Danio rerio: one gene and its partners. The protein of the gene in region 3 purifies or fractionates together with the protein of the main gene of each other region. This does not show direct contact. Links are inferred from orthologs where the notes say so. Each region holds a gene or a part of one and is shown on either strand. Other genes may lie near its edges. The genes, in order: rpp40, rpp38 and pop4.

What was found.
Region 1: the proteins of pop4 (region 3) and rpp40 purify together in Homo sapiens (affinity purification with mass spectrometry; 3 studies listed by BioGRID and IntAct, counting the BioPlex papers as one, with this or other methods). This does not show direct contact. The link is inferred for Danio rerio from reciprocal best matches to the Homo sapiens genes POP4 and RPP40.
Region 2: the proteins of pop4 (region 3) and rpp38 purify together in Homo sapiens (affinity purification with mass spectrometry; 4 studies listed by BioGRID and IntAct, counting the BioPlex papers as one, with this or other methods). This does not show direct contact. The link is inferred for Danio rerio from reciprocal best matches to the Homo sapiens genes POP4 and RPP38.

Annotation. Positions count from the first base shown.
Region 1 is NC_133177.1:26,946,648-26,951,065, reverse strand, and holds the end of rpp40 (ribonuclease P protein subunit p40), read right to left. Parts: intron 2,940-4,418; coding exon 2,805-2,939; intron 1,833-2,804; coding exon 1,634-1,832; 3' UTR 1,542-1,633; downstream 1-1,541. UniProt on the Homo sapiens protein: Component of ribonuclease P, a ribonucleoprotein complex that generates mature tRNA molecules by cleaving their 5'-ends. Also a component of the MRP ribonuclease complex, which cleaves pre-rRNA sequences.
Region 2 is NC_133191.1:31,718,427-31,724,147, reverse strand, and holds rpp38 (ribonuclease P protein subunit p38), read left to right. Parts: upstream 1-2,772; 5' UTR 2,773-2,879; intron 2,880-2,996; 5' UTR 2,997-3,009; coding exon 3,010-3,807; 3' UTR 3,808-4,466; downstream 4,467-5,721. Other genes in the region: acbd7 (acyl-CoA-binding domain-containing protein 7), read right to left, coding at 265-276. UniProt on the Homo sapiens protein: Component of ribonuclease P, a ribonucleoprotein complex that generates mature tRNA molecules by cleaving their 5'-ends. Also a component of the MRP ribonuclease complex, which cleaves pre-rRNA sequences.
Region 3 is NC_133182.1:47,667,224-47,672,041, reverse strand, and holds the end of pop4 (ribonuclease P protein subunit p29), read right to left. Parts: intron 2,344-4,818; coding exon 2,207-2,343; 3' UTR 1,882-2,206; downstream 1-1,881. UniProt on the Homo sapiens protein: Component of ribonuclease P, a ribonucleoprotein complex that generates mature tRNA molecules by cleaving their 5'-ends.

The DNA of each region.
Region 1 (4,418 bases), on a different chromosome or scaffold from region 3:
AATGTGGACGAGGCCTTGGCTTAGTAGGAATGAACAGTTATTTGTATCAAAGTTAACTTTTGTACTTTTTCCCTGCTTAATTTTAAACGTTTTTTTTTCAGCTTTGTTAGTTTGTATGTTCATACAAACTGTTTGCTTTTGAGTAACATTATTATACCACCAAATAATTTTGATGTACATGTTTGTTGACAAATATTTCTAATTTAATAACTTATGAAATTGAAGGAGGAAGTTCCTCATGAGTCAATAAAGGATGCTGGCATTTTAAATCTGCATCCTTACGTTGTTATTTTTCTTCTTCTGGTTCAAACTGACTGGACTGCTGTATTATCAGAAAGAGCCCTGGAGGTTAAACGACCATCTCTAAGGGAAGATCAACTAAAATCTTCCACAAACGCCTGTAGTTACTAGCTAGTGTGCACTGTTAGTCAGTGGAATACAATGTTTTAGAATGTGAGGGAATGGAGTAGGTTTAGGAAAATGGCTTACACAAAACTATTGAACGTGACAAATTCCTGCAGGAATATTAAAGCCCTACCTCTCAACATTATTTTCAGCTATGAAGTGTGTGGTTTGAACCCCATCCCTTTTTAAAATCGCTCTGGTGCAGATACACTATTGCTCTGTCCTGTTCCAAAATAACTGCTCTAAATAATCTACAGAAACTCAAAATTGAAGTCAGTAATCAGTCCCAGCAGTGTAAATGATATATGTTATTAATTCTGTTCAGTATTTATTGACTATAGATTGAATTTGCTGTAGTAGTTTCTATAACACGGAATAACAGGTGGTCGTGTGTGTTTTTTCCCTCTTTCCAAATGGTTTTGTAAAATGACTTTTTGTTTTGTTTATGGAATGATATTTATGATTGTGCAAATAGATTTGTTTTCATTTGTATTTCTTTGAATGCTTCAGTTGTTTTAAAAGACATTTTTTTGCAAAACAATGTGACAGGTCATGTTTGATTATGAAGTGGATTGCGACATTAATGATGTCTTCTCTGTTTTAACTTGTGTGTATAATGTAAACTCTGCTTCGCTGGCTTATAACTGATGTCAGTGAAGCTGGTTTGATCTGTGAGGATTAACCTAGACTGTCTGTTAACAACCCAGAAAAAAAGTTCCAATTTACTCAAGCTTTGCAATAATATCTTAAATTCGTTAAACATTTTTGGTGTGTGTGTGTGTGTGTGCGCGCGAGCTCGGCCCTCTCTCTTTCTCTTATGGATGTCTTGGCATATTTGCATTGTGTAGTGTAATGTTAAACATGGCTATATCAGAGGAAATATTGCTTTATTCCAGTCACTTCACTGACAAATAAAAACAAAAAAAGTCTCATTATGGTTTTCTGACTTTCAGCATAGCTGTACACGTCATCTGCCTTTAATTTCAAACGCTGGTCAAAACTAGATTTTGTTATAAATATAAGGGCAATGCGTATTTCCTATAGTTGATATGTTAAATGTTATAAATTGTACAATCTGTAAATTTTTTTAGGTTTCTGAACATGTAACAGCTGTGAAAATGACTGGTCTAAATAAATTGATATACTATTTTATTTTACTTTGGTCCTCTTAAATGAATTTTAATAAAATAACTTTTATATTGTACAATTGAACACAAAGCCCATCGTTTCAAGGTGGACAGGCATCTTGAGCACCGGTGGCCATGTGTAGCCAGTAGTCCTGATTCTTGAAACAAACAAAATTGTAGAAGTTTTCACCACCTTTGAGGAAGCCGTGCTCTGAGGTTCCCCACGACACAGGACTGTCCATAAACCCATGCACTGTGAGGGAAAGCCATGGTGTGAACTTCGGTTCATCGAAATACTTCCTGAAAGACACGTTAGAGAAATAGACAACTTGTAAGTTTCAGATGTCCTCCTCGCTTTTTACAGCACAAGCATCCTCTTGAGAAAATAACTTAAGCATATGTGTACTTATACATATTTCACCACAAACTGAATGTGAATGTATTAATTTATATTAATATTGCATGAAATGTAACACTTTAAATCTGCTATTTTATAATATGCTGTTATCATACAGACTGTATCATTACTTCTAAAACACAAGTCGCAGTTTAAGAATTATTATTATTATTTTAAAGATGCCTCCACCATTTTTCCATCAAATAAAACAGTTGTCATTCCAATTCGCTACTGTAAACAAACTGAGTTCTTCTGATTGGTACACTGAGCCTGGTAAGGGCTTGAATGGGAAACCACTTGGGAAAACTAGGTTTCTGTTGGAAGTGGTGATAGTGAGGCCAGCAGGAGGTGCTCATCCTGCGGTCTGTGTGGGTCCTTATGTCCCAGTATAGTGAAGGGCATATTCACAGCAGTGTACTAGAAGCATAAACATTTTTCTGTTGCATTTTTAAAATGTCTTGCATACAATAGCAACCAAAATATGCTGTTATGCACATCAGGCATGCAGTGGGTGATGATTTCACTCTGTAAACCAGGGGTGCCCAAACTCATTCCGGGAGGGCCAGTGTCCTGCATAGTTTGGTGTCAACCCCAATTAAACACACCTTTTCTAGGTATACTTGAAATTTCCAGGCAGGTATGTTCAAGCTAAACTATGCAGGACACCGGCCCTCCTGGACCAAGTTTGGGCACCCCAAGTTTGGTTTACACCCCTGCTGTAAACAATATGCTTTCGCCACTTCGCCACTTTGGAAGAGAGAAAAAAAAACCTTTAGAACCCACTTAAAATAAAAAAGTTAGCATTTTCAGGCCTTCAAAACACTGGTTGTGTAAATAAAAGGCTGGTTGTGATACAGAAGTGATGGTGTGCTTACCTGAGCTCCTGCAGCAGCACAAACACATTCTCAGGTGAGATGAAGCCAGTGACGCTGCACACCACAGCCTGACTGATGGAGCTCTGAGGCTCGGGACACACATATGTAGACAGGAAACTGTCAGCTGCATTTTCACTGAAAACACATAAAATTCACTTAAGAGATGCACAGACACACTACGAAATGGCAGTTTGTGAAATACCATGTTTCCAAATCACATATTTTTGTGCACATCAAAACGCACTGGATAAAATCTTCATATATAAATCTTCACAATATATTGTGATATGACAACAATTTCACCCAAATCATTTGGAAATATATCGTTATGAACTGTTCATTACACTACAAACTAAAATGTAACTGGAATAAAGATTACTAACAGCATTCAGGTGCAGAAATTAAATAAATGAAACTGGAGAGTCTTCACCGTATAAAGCGGCTTTATCTTTTTTACAGCTACAAATGTTCTCTTTTCATGTGCTTGAATACTTTACGCTGACTCGGTATGCGAACAGTAAGAAAAGGTTTCCACAGGTCAGGGAATTTTAAAAAATGTCTATTCCAGACATTGAAAATCAGTGAATGCGAGCAGGGGGGCTTGAGCAGCTTGCAATTCTCTTTTCCTATGGATTTATACATTAAGACACCATTAAGGTCAAAATTATTAGGCCCTTTAAGCTTTTTTTTTTTTTTTGATAGTCTACAGAACAAACAACCGCTACACAATAACTTGCCTAATTACCCTAACCTGCCTAGTTAACCTAATTGACCTAGTTAAGCCTTTAAATGTCACTTTAAGCTGTATAGAAGTGTCTTGAAAAATATCTAGTCAAATATTTTTTACTGTCATCATGGCAAAGATAAAACAAATCCGGTATTAAAAAAATAAATAGTTATTAAAACTAATGTTTAGAAATGTGGTGAAAAAAATCTTCTCTCCGTTAAACAGAAATTGGGAAAAAAAATAAACATGGCTCATAATTCAGGGGGGCTAATCATTCTGACTTTAACTATATTTATATATATATATATATATATATATATATATATATATATAGTTATATAACCAGGCCCGGATTGGCTAATCGGGAGGACTGGGAGAATTCCCGGTGGGCCGGTCAGTTTGTTGGCTGCGAGGGCCGGTGTTCCTAGCTCCAGAATCTGTTGCTATCAGCAGTCACACTTTTTAAAAATAATTTATTTATTTACTTGACCACAGCCTTCTTATTCATTATTTTACCGCAGCTCTGCTCTTTTAATCTTTTTATCTTTTTAGCCTGCAGGTTAATGTTGATATACCTAGATAAGTCACCATTCAGTGTACAGCTGTTGTGGTACAGTGGTTAATACCACCAACCCGGGTTCGGACCTCGTCTGGGGGATAATTTTTTTTTTTCCATTTTTATTGATAAGACATATAATACTGTAAGGGTTGTTGAACATTTGAAGTTCTAAAACAGCTGTTTTCTCAAAAAAAGACTTGATAGTGTAATTAGAAACTGAATTGAAAATGACCTTATTTTAATATAGTCAGTGGTGAACAGAGGTGGGCCGGTCTAAGGCTTGAAACTCCAGGGCTGAAAAAGAGTCCCACTCCAGCCCTGTATATAA
Region 2 (5,721 bases), on a different chromosome or scaffold from region 3:
GAGTGCACATCCAGAAGCTGCAGATAAAAAATCTACGTGTGCAATACAAATGCTAAAAGCGTATTCATATAAATATAGCATAGCCTTGTGCATATGCAGCAGAATATGATACAGCATTATAATAATACACCGCGTCATCTTTAAAATCCTACTTATATTTATCCAGCGGTTGGACTTTAAAGAATATCCAAATAGTTTGGATTCATGATTCGTATCTCAATATGTGCAATGGATGTGATATTATAGGAAAGAGCAGTTATGTACCTTTAAAGTCATTTTCTTAGGCGAGTGTTGAGCGGCTGTGATGTCGGCTTGAGCGTAGCGTAGATGCACTGATGAATCGAGTTTACGGTGACACCGCTGTGGGAGAGAGGAGCTGAGCGCTGATTGGCTGATGGAACATCCGATGGTGAGACCCGCAGATTGTTCATCATTTTTAGGGTGAACGCATTTATTACTCATTCGCTTGCACGAACAGCAGGTTTGCGTAACATGACAAATAAAATTATGCATTCAAATGGATTCGAATTAGAATATATTTAAATATTATTCTGAGTAAAAGCAACTGTGAAAATAACTATAGTAAAATCGTGTCAGGCAAAATTAGGAGAGGAATTATTTGATTACAAATTAGCCTCAAAAATGTAACAGCAAAAGTGCTATATAAATAAACATGAATTGGACTAAATAATATTGACTGTTTCATTTTTATAGCTATATATTTTTATATTTTACCTCTCTAGGTATAAAATAATTTTGAAAGTCTAATTTCAAATAAATTAAAATATAATAACATTTAATATGATCACTTATTCATTTAATATGATCACTATATGTATATATTTAGGAACAGTATAGAAAAAAATTACACTCAACATTTATTTTCACGTTTTTGTGGCATGATTTACAAAACAGTCACTTTATTTGTATTGCCTATGACTCATAATCATAAAAGGTAGATCATGCATTACTTTATGAAGTTATAATTTTCCAATTAGAACATTTGTTTCTGAATTAAATACTTCAATTTTAGATAAAAAAAAATACAATTTAAAAAACTCAAATATACACCAATGCTGTTAAAAAAATCCCTAGAAAAAAACAACGGCTCATTATTTTTACCATGATTTACAGGAGACACTAAAATGTTATTCAGACAGTCTATTTATTATAAAAAAATGTTGTTACAATTATTTTATGACATTAATTGTCTTATCAATTACAATTCATTTGATTTTTAAATGGTTATATTTACTATTATTCTTCAAACCTCTTGGAAATAGAGGAATAGCAAAATTGTAATCTTACATTTTTAAAAATAATTTTATGATCACTCATTCTTTTATATAATTACAGTCCAGAGTAAGTATGCTGTTTCATTTTTCATAATAATATCCATTATCCCAAATGAGAATAGAACATTTTCCCGTATTTCAACATTGATTTTAAAACAAGTTGATTTTAAAACTTTATTTGCATTCTGTTTTGTGAATTTAATATGATGCTGATATCAAAATGGGATGTCCTGCCTTTGACCCATAATCATAAAAAGAGAGATCATATATTCTTTGCTTTATGACCTTATTATTTAGGTTTAGAGGAGATACTAAAATGTCATTCAGATGGTGTAACCTCCTGTAAAAACAAATCTTGTCACAATTATTCAATGACATTTTAAGTCTAACAATAGTTTTATATATATATATATATATATATATATATATATATATATATATATATATATATATATATATATATATATATATATATATATATATATATATATATATATGTAATAAAACAAATATTGTTACAATTATATGATGACATTAAAGTCTGATTGTGGCTAATTGTGGATCATTAAGTGCATTTTTAAATGTCTAGATTTACCCATAATCCTTCAAACCTCTAAAAAGGAAAAACGAAATTCCATAAAGGAATAAAAACATGTAATCTTCAATAAAATATGATATTATTTGTTTTAACAGACTAGAATAATGCTGTTTAATTTTTCATAGTTATAAACATTATCCTAGATTACAACAGAAAATTAAACTACATTTCAACATTTATTTTCAAAGTTGTTTCGTAGCATTACCATGTAGTCACTTTATTTGCATTTTTTTTTTTGCAAACTAAATGATGCAGATACCAAAATGAAACATCTTGCCTTTGACTCATAATGATAAAAAGGTATACAGATCATATACTCTTTACTGCCTTTTTTTACTAGCTTATTATTTTCAATTTAGTCCAAACAATACATTTATCTCTTAATTAAGTGCTCATCAGTTTAAAACAAAGCAATCACTATCAATATTAATATTTATTAATCCTCACTAATATTATTATTAGTCACTGATTTCATGCTATCTATGAGCTGTTACGTTTATACGATTTTTAAATTGAAGGCTTGAAAAACATTAACAACAAATGTCATCAATAAAACAACAACAATCCAGGGGTTTTCAGTCATTTAGTCCAAGATAAGTTAAAAGTCCTTCATCAAAGTCTGTTCGTATTGCTTTTAAGTTTGTTGATCCCGCAATACACTCAAAATACATTTTCATTTCAATTTTGAATTTAGGAAAAAAAGGTTTACACTTACAAAACTTGCTCTTATAAATATGAAATTTGGCCAAAAAAATCAAGGTGTTTATAAGATTTATAAATGGTCTGGCCTGACTGTTTACGTTTATGACAAATTACAACCGAAAAGCTCTTTCGGAAACATTCACTAGATGGCAGTGTGTGCATTACAAACCCTGAACTATTAACCACAGAAGAAGACCTTCAATAACAACATGTCTGCACACACAACTTAGTACACGCTGTAGATGTTGAGCTGAGGAAATCTTCATTTCTGGCTAGTTAATTAGGTTTGTATATCATTTTTGCTGTGTCTTCTTGGTTGTTATGAATACTAAGTTGTTTATAGGCTACATGCCTCGTTGAGTTTAACGTGATTTGTAATGCTAGTTTTTGAACATTTCAAGCTTTCCAGCAATAATGTCGACCCCAGCGAAAGGAGCAACGAAGAAAGAAAAAAAGAAGCCGATACCAGTCAAAACATCCCTGAATAACCCGTACAACATTGGCTGGAGTGACCTCTTACAAAAACAACACAAACATTTAATACTTGACACTCTGAAAGAAAAATTATCCGCCACCGGGCTTCGGAAAGAGCGTGTCAGCCGGTTTCGCGATTGGGGAAGCAGAAGGAGGTCCAGAAAAAAGGCATCAAAACCCACCGAAGAGCAAAACCCAGCTTCTGAACCCGCAGAGAGCGTGCAAACCCCCGAGCCGGGCTGGACCAATCTGGCCCTGAGGAAACAGCTCGCCATCGGCATCAACGAGGTCACCAAGGGCCTAGAAAGGAACGAGCTGAGTTTGGTGCTCGTGTGTAACTCGGTCACCCCAGCTCACATGACGAGCCATTTAATCCCGCTGAGTAAAACCAGGTCGGTGCCCGCCTGCCAGGTACCCGGTTTGAGTGGAAGCCTGTCGGAGCTGCTCGGCCTCAAGTGCGTCCTGGCACTGGGCTTCAGACGCGGGTCCGAGGAGTTCGAGAATACGGTCCGCGCCATCACACCGATGGTCCCACAGCTCCCCGTGGCGTGGATTCAGACAGACTCAACACCAACAACCAAAGAAAAGCGCACAGAAATCGGACAGAAGAGGAAACTAGAAGAGCTGTCGAGTGATGCATCTCCTTTGGTTCTCCAGCCTCTAAAAGTAAAGAAAATCATTCCGAATCCAACGAAAATTAGGAAACCCAAACTGAAAAAACAGAAAAAAGTTGTTTAACCTGCATTCTATGAATGAAGAATGTGTAAACACGTTTATTATATTTATATTTTCAATAGTTTGTGATGATTTTGTGAGTGTATTTTACATTGTGATTGGTGGACTGTCATATTTGATGGTCTTTAAGAAAGCTGATCATTTAAAACTACACAATTTTGGCATTTGTAAAGACACCTTTTTTGAAATTTGGCAGATACTTTGGGTATTCTTACCACCAGAGTCGTTAAATTCATAAACCACTGAAGGGGGAAAGAAGTTTAATGTTAATGTTGAGTGAACCATTATAGGTTCACTTAACATTAAACTTCTTTCATTTTTTAAGACAGGGCTGTCCAAACTCTGGGCTGGTGTCCCGCATAGTTTAGCTCCCAACTTCCACACACCTGCCTGAAAGTTTCTAGTATACCTAAACCACTTGATAAGCTGGTTCAGGTATGTTTAACTGGGGTTGGAAATGAAGTATGCAGGACACCAACCCTCCAGGACCGAGTTTTGACACCCTTGTTAAGATAATTCTTCAGAATCTCAAAAAAAAAAAAAAAAAAGAAAGGCCTTTTTCTTAACTTCAATATTTGCTTAGGCTACTAAATACTTGGCTTGGACACACATTTTTATTAAGTATATGTGATGGTTATGAAAAATAAAAAGCCCCAACTGAGTAGCGTTTTACATTTTGGATGCTTTTATTCAGTCAAATATCCATGCTGGTATACCTTGATGTATATTATTTTTGACAATTAGATATTCGGGTGGACTGTCTTGTTTGACATGGTGCTGGTACTTGTTCCCATCAGTTCCATCCTGCAATGGAGTTCAATAAAAATACTGTCTTCAGAAAGAGAAAGCTGATCGTTTAAAACTACACAAGTTAAACGTTTAAAAAAAAACAACCTCTCTGAAATAAGGCAAGTACTTTAGGTGTTCTCACCATAACCCATAAATTCAAAAAACCATACAGCTCGAGGGGGGAAAAGGATTCATGCTCAGTTCATTCAGCAAGCCTTAGAAAAAACATATGCAAACTGACATTCGCAAAAAAGTGCCCTTGATGACGTTATTGAACGAAACCACTGACTGAAATGTGCGACTTTGAGAGGAGTACCTTTCTTTTGAAGCCTGACTGGACGTGCGCTTATTTAAAAGCAAATTGTAGATTCAGAAACATTAAAGCAAACCATGAAAGCAAAACCAGCTTCTGCTGAAGAATAACGTTCACATTAACGTTCATTAAGCTTCATCAGTGATTGTAACTGAAACAGCAAGCAAGCTTTCCTGACCGCATCACCAAAAGCATTAGGAGAAACGCTTATATCAAAATGAAAACGCACATATGATTGTTCAGCTCTTCTTGTGCTTAAAAATAGCAAAACGATCAGGACCTGATCGAGAAAACGCACCAGTCAAATGAGGTTATGGTTCACTGCAAATACTGAGAGAGCAAAGAAAGTGGAGAATAAAATGTAACAAGTAACTTAAGCACAATTCTAAATATCAGAATTGTTTAGCTAAAATGATGATTTAGAAACACTAGATGGTAAAGAACAGAAACGAGTGGGGGAAAAGAAGCTAACAATCATGCCTTCATGAAAAAAGAAATGGAAATGAATTCACATTCAAAATTCGAAATGTTTCTTTTGGACACACAAACCCTAAAACAAAACATCATATTCTTACAAATGCACCTCAGAGCAGTCCGGCCCTTTTATAAACAAGTTGATGTTGTGCTTCAAAACGCAATACATTCCTCCACACGTGTAACCATTTACTCGCTCCGCAAACAGACAGAAACTCAGAATGCTGTATGAATTCAAAGGCAGCTCCATACAAAAGACTTTGGATTTCGACCCATGTTCCTGTTCCGTTGTAAACCTCACAATACGTAATAAATATCTGGCATTAAATGTACAGCTTGCT
Region 3 (4,818 bases):
TCTATAGTATTTGTTTTTCTTGTAATAAGTATCAATAGTTATTAGTTTTCTAAAATTCATGGATCTAACTTTGTGCTCAATAACGACAAGGAAAAGCAGATAAGTCAAACTGGTTTGGAACAATTCAGTGGCGAGTAAACGATGACCGTTTTCACTTTTGGGTGAACTATATCTTTAAATCTTTAAGATAGTCCTTCTAGAATGACATTACATGCAGCTTTCTAAACAAGGACAACCTAGATTGCATTACAATAAGTATTATGCGGTGCTTACCAATGTTGCTTGAAACTGGAAAGTTCAACCAATAGAAACTGAACCTCAAATAATGGATGGATATAGTGAGTAGGAACAATAGGTAAAGTGTGGATGGATGTTTGCTCCTAATATCAACACAATGGAGGCACTTTTGGTACTTTTTAGTGAGAGATGACAGAAAGAGAAGCATATTGTGTGGAGTGTTTTTATTATTGTTAATGAAAACATTGCAAAGTTGAACTTTTATGCACTTTAAAATGTATATCTGTTTAAAGTAAAGACATAGAAGTGTTGTGGGAGGAATTGCTTCTCGTTATATTTTTGTTTCTGATTGAGAACCTCAGTCTGGAAAAATGTCTACATTTATTTATTAAGCAGATGACTTTATCCAAATAAAGGAGATAATATTTCGCAAGATTGCCATTTAAACATTATTCAAGCTACATTTTTAAAATGTTTAAAAGTTAATTTTTCCAACAATAAGTTTGTGCAAATTTCAGGTTCGACATTCAGTTCATTATAGTACTTTTTTTTTTTTTTAATCTGTCTTTGGATTTAACATTTACAGTGCTCAGCATATACAAGTACAACGCTTACAAATGTCTTATTTAAATTAATATTTACAATAGGAAGCTTTAAAATAATAATAATGTATTTGTGCATGCTTATACATTAGTCAGTACTGAAGCATATATATATATATATATATATATATATATATATATATATATATATATATATATATATATATATACACATATATATATAGGCATTTAAAATGAGCAAAATTCAAGAAAAACTTAAATTTTAAAAATGTTGTAGTTTGTAATATTGTTTTCCAACATTTTGCATGAATCTTTAAAAATATCTTTAAATTTCTAAATGTGTTTGATTACTAAAATATTATTTAAATAAATATATCCATTTAATAAATTAGTCAAATGCACCAAAATATGACCTACATTTACTGACAAATTAATAAAAATATTAATTAGCAAAATGGGGTGTACTCATTTATGCTGAGCACTGTACATTGCTAATTACAGATGCTTTAAGAACATGAATCATAAGTGCTCATAAAAACAAATGTGTTCCGATTTAGCATATTGATGATGCACAATTATGATGCAACCACTCATAAATCATGACACACTGCTCAAACCTTAAGAGACGCATGTAAATTCTAGTGTATGCTTTCAAGGTAGAGTATTAGTGATCGTCTGCATTAATGTACCCTGTATTGCATCACTAATAAATTCTTGCAAGTTTTATTGCCAGTTTGACTAACTTAACTAAAAACACTGACAGTTCTTGCATTTACCATTTGACCCAGAACAGAAGTGTATAAGACCTGTGTTCAGTCAACAGGACGCATTACTTTTACATGTTTGAGCCACTATTGCACTGTATGCAGGATTTTACTTCTATCAAATAAAAAATAAAAAAATAAAATTGATTGGGTGTACCAGCTATCACCATCACCTTTCCCCAAAACTAAACTCTATAAACACAGCTTCTAAATGTACTTTGGTAATTAAATATACACAATAAACAGATGTAAAGTGAGGATGTACTGTCATAAAGACATTAAAAGGAAGCTTTAAACATGCTCTTAAAGACAAAGTATTGCTTTGTATTGTATTTCTTTATTTAAAGTATTTACAGTCCTGCCTTTGTTTTAGTTAAATAAATGAGCTCATAAATATAAAAAAAATGAATTGGCTGAATTTCCTTGTTCCTGCTCTACAAAAAAGAAAATAAAAAAAATGGGTGGGGTGAATGTCTCCCCCTTGTGGACATTAAAGGAATCTAGTTTTACAGATATAAGCGATGGAAATAAAATCTTTCCTTAGATTAAAAACAAAATAAATGACATGATTAATGAATACTGACTGGATCTTGGGCTCCAGTAGAAGACACTAGTTAAAGATGACAATGTGAATGTGGTCCGTTACAAGTCAATAGTCCCTTTGACTTTGAATTTCTTGGCTGATCGCTCACTGGAGCGCAGTTCAAACTTGCTGCCATAGATGTGAGAAACGAAACCTCCAACCTCCACACTGAACACACTGTTCCTCTTTGGTATAACTGGAAAAGGAGCAAGAGTGGGGAAAAAGTTAATCTACAAGACGCATTCATTTGGTAAAAAGAGGTTGTGAAAGGTGCCTAATGACTGGGAGTAGACTGAGGAAGATGATTATTTTTTTTTTTAGTCTGGACTATATCTGATCACAGAGGGAATGTTTTTCCATCATTCAAAATACAGTAACATTCATAAACAATCAAATATTTGATGTAAATAACAAAAATGGCAAATAAATATCATAAAATATGATGAAAGTAGTGGTCTCCTGGAGTTTTGTCACTTGTGTTAACAAAAAAGTTGATTACTTTAAAATTATACTGTCAGATTTTAGGGCCAAAAAAACCAAATATATCACTGTGATATCTATAAAGAAAACAAGCTATATATAATGCAATCGATCAAATTCATATAAATAACATGTTACTGGGGATGAGTTATATTATAGAAAACATAGTATAAGTATTTAATTTTGGAAATATTGTGGTTGACATCAAATATTGGTGCACCACAACAGGCCTAGTATGAAGTTTGACCAATAGACCTTTTTCCCATTTCCAGGTTTCTCAGTAGCAGAAGACTTCATAGTTGGGTAAACTTAAAAGCGCAGTGAATAGGAGAGTAAAACACATATATTTTTTTTACATTCCTATTAGCTGAAATAAGAGAAACACTCCTTGGTGGTGTTGTCAAGACTTTCAGAAAGAAAAAAATAGTGTGAGACTGATGACGGCTGCCAGATGAGAGAATAACGTCAAATTTACTCTCAGCTCCATAGATGCTGCATTAGAAACACCTCACGTAAGAGGCAATTCATTTTTTGTAATTTGATGCAAAGATGTTATAATACATTCATAAATACATTACATGTTCAAACTTTCAAGGATTTAAGATTATGATGACCGTTAAACACCTCATAAAAGGCTTGTGAAAAGAGTCCATTAAAATTTTTATTTTATTTAAATAATTAAATTTTAATAATGTTATGTTGAGGACTACCCAAGCGGCAATCTCCCGCTCTCCCTCGGGAAGCCAATACGGAAGTAACTGAAGCTGCAATTTATTGAAATTCCGCATTGCTCCATTTGGAGCAAATTTCAATTTAGCCCACTATTAGAATGGCCAACTTTACAGCAGAAAAAAAGGGTGTTTAAAGAACAACTTTGGTTCATATAGCTATGACTACCCTTCATGACAACTGTGAAGGTGCTGAATTTATATATAACTCATGCGTTTCGTTTATATTAGGTTATATTAAGTCTGCATAATTAAGGCGTGGCCACTTGAGTGACAGCTAGGTCTCGCTGGTCACCGTCACTTCACCTCAGCTGACTCCGGCAGATTAGGTGCTGAACTCGGGATATACATCGTATTTTTGTTTTATGTGGCTTTACACAGTCAATTGCTTTTTGGAATTATTTCTTACAATTGTCAGGTGATATTGCATGCTGTCTTCACTTTATTGTGCTCACAAACCATTCACGTGGGTGAAATTCTATACTTATACCAACTCTATAAATGCATTGGTCTTATTTGAGATTATTTATCATTTATAAATGTTCTTTAGACCTGTAAAGCACTCCAGAATCTGACAGATTGATTAGCTGAAGGCTCTAGAACAGTCATCTGAAATATTGTCATACAAAAGCATATAATTTGCTTTTTTCTCCTGTAGAAAAACGTCACAAGAACGATGCTTAGTGGCTCAATGTGGTACAACAGTGTTTTTAAAAGTCTAAACACTTTATGGATATAGTGTACAACCAAGCACATGTGGTCAGAAGACAAACGAGTCACAGGTAATGAAGTATCAAGTGTTCTCGCAAAGTAAAGTCTGTCTAAGCAAGGTCCAAGCTAAATGCCAGCAGGTGTCTTTAGCTCCATTCACTCTCATCCTCTTTGCCCTTGTTTGGTATCCCGCCGTGAGTGCGAAGACGCGCCTACTTGTAGCTTCTTTTGCAATGTTCAGAAACCTATGGATGACGTCACGGATACTACGTCCATATATTTTACAGTCTATGGGACTACCACAACTGAAAGTCAAAGGATTTTTAAAACTTAAATTTATCATTTAATAAGTCATTTTACATATCACTTTTCTCACTTATAAAATAGACTATTAGCAACACTGTCATCTGGTATCCATTATATTAACAGAAATATTACTAGTAAAAAAACATTTATTCCAGGATTTTAAGAAAACCGCCTAAAAGCAGAAAGATGTGTTTTGTAGCGAAAGGCTGAAAAACACAATGTTCTCTTAACTAGAATGTTGTTGGGCGTAATATTATGACACATCTAAAGTGGATTGTCATATTTGTTTTTTATTTTTAATCTAAATGACTTAATTTATTTTTGTTGATCAATGGCATGGTTTTGTTTGCTGATTTTTATCTAGCAAGATCTAGCAACAAATGAAAGCTTTTCCACAGTGCTTATCTTGCACTGAACATAAGAAGACATCCATGAAATAGGTTTAA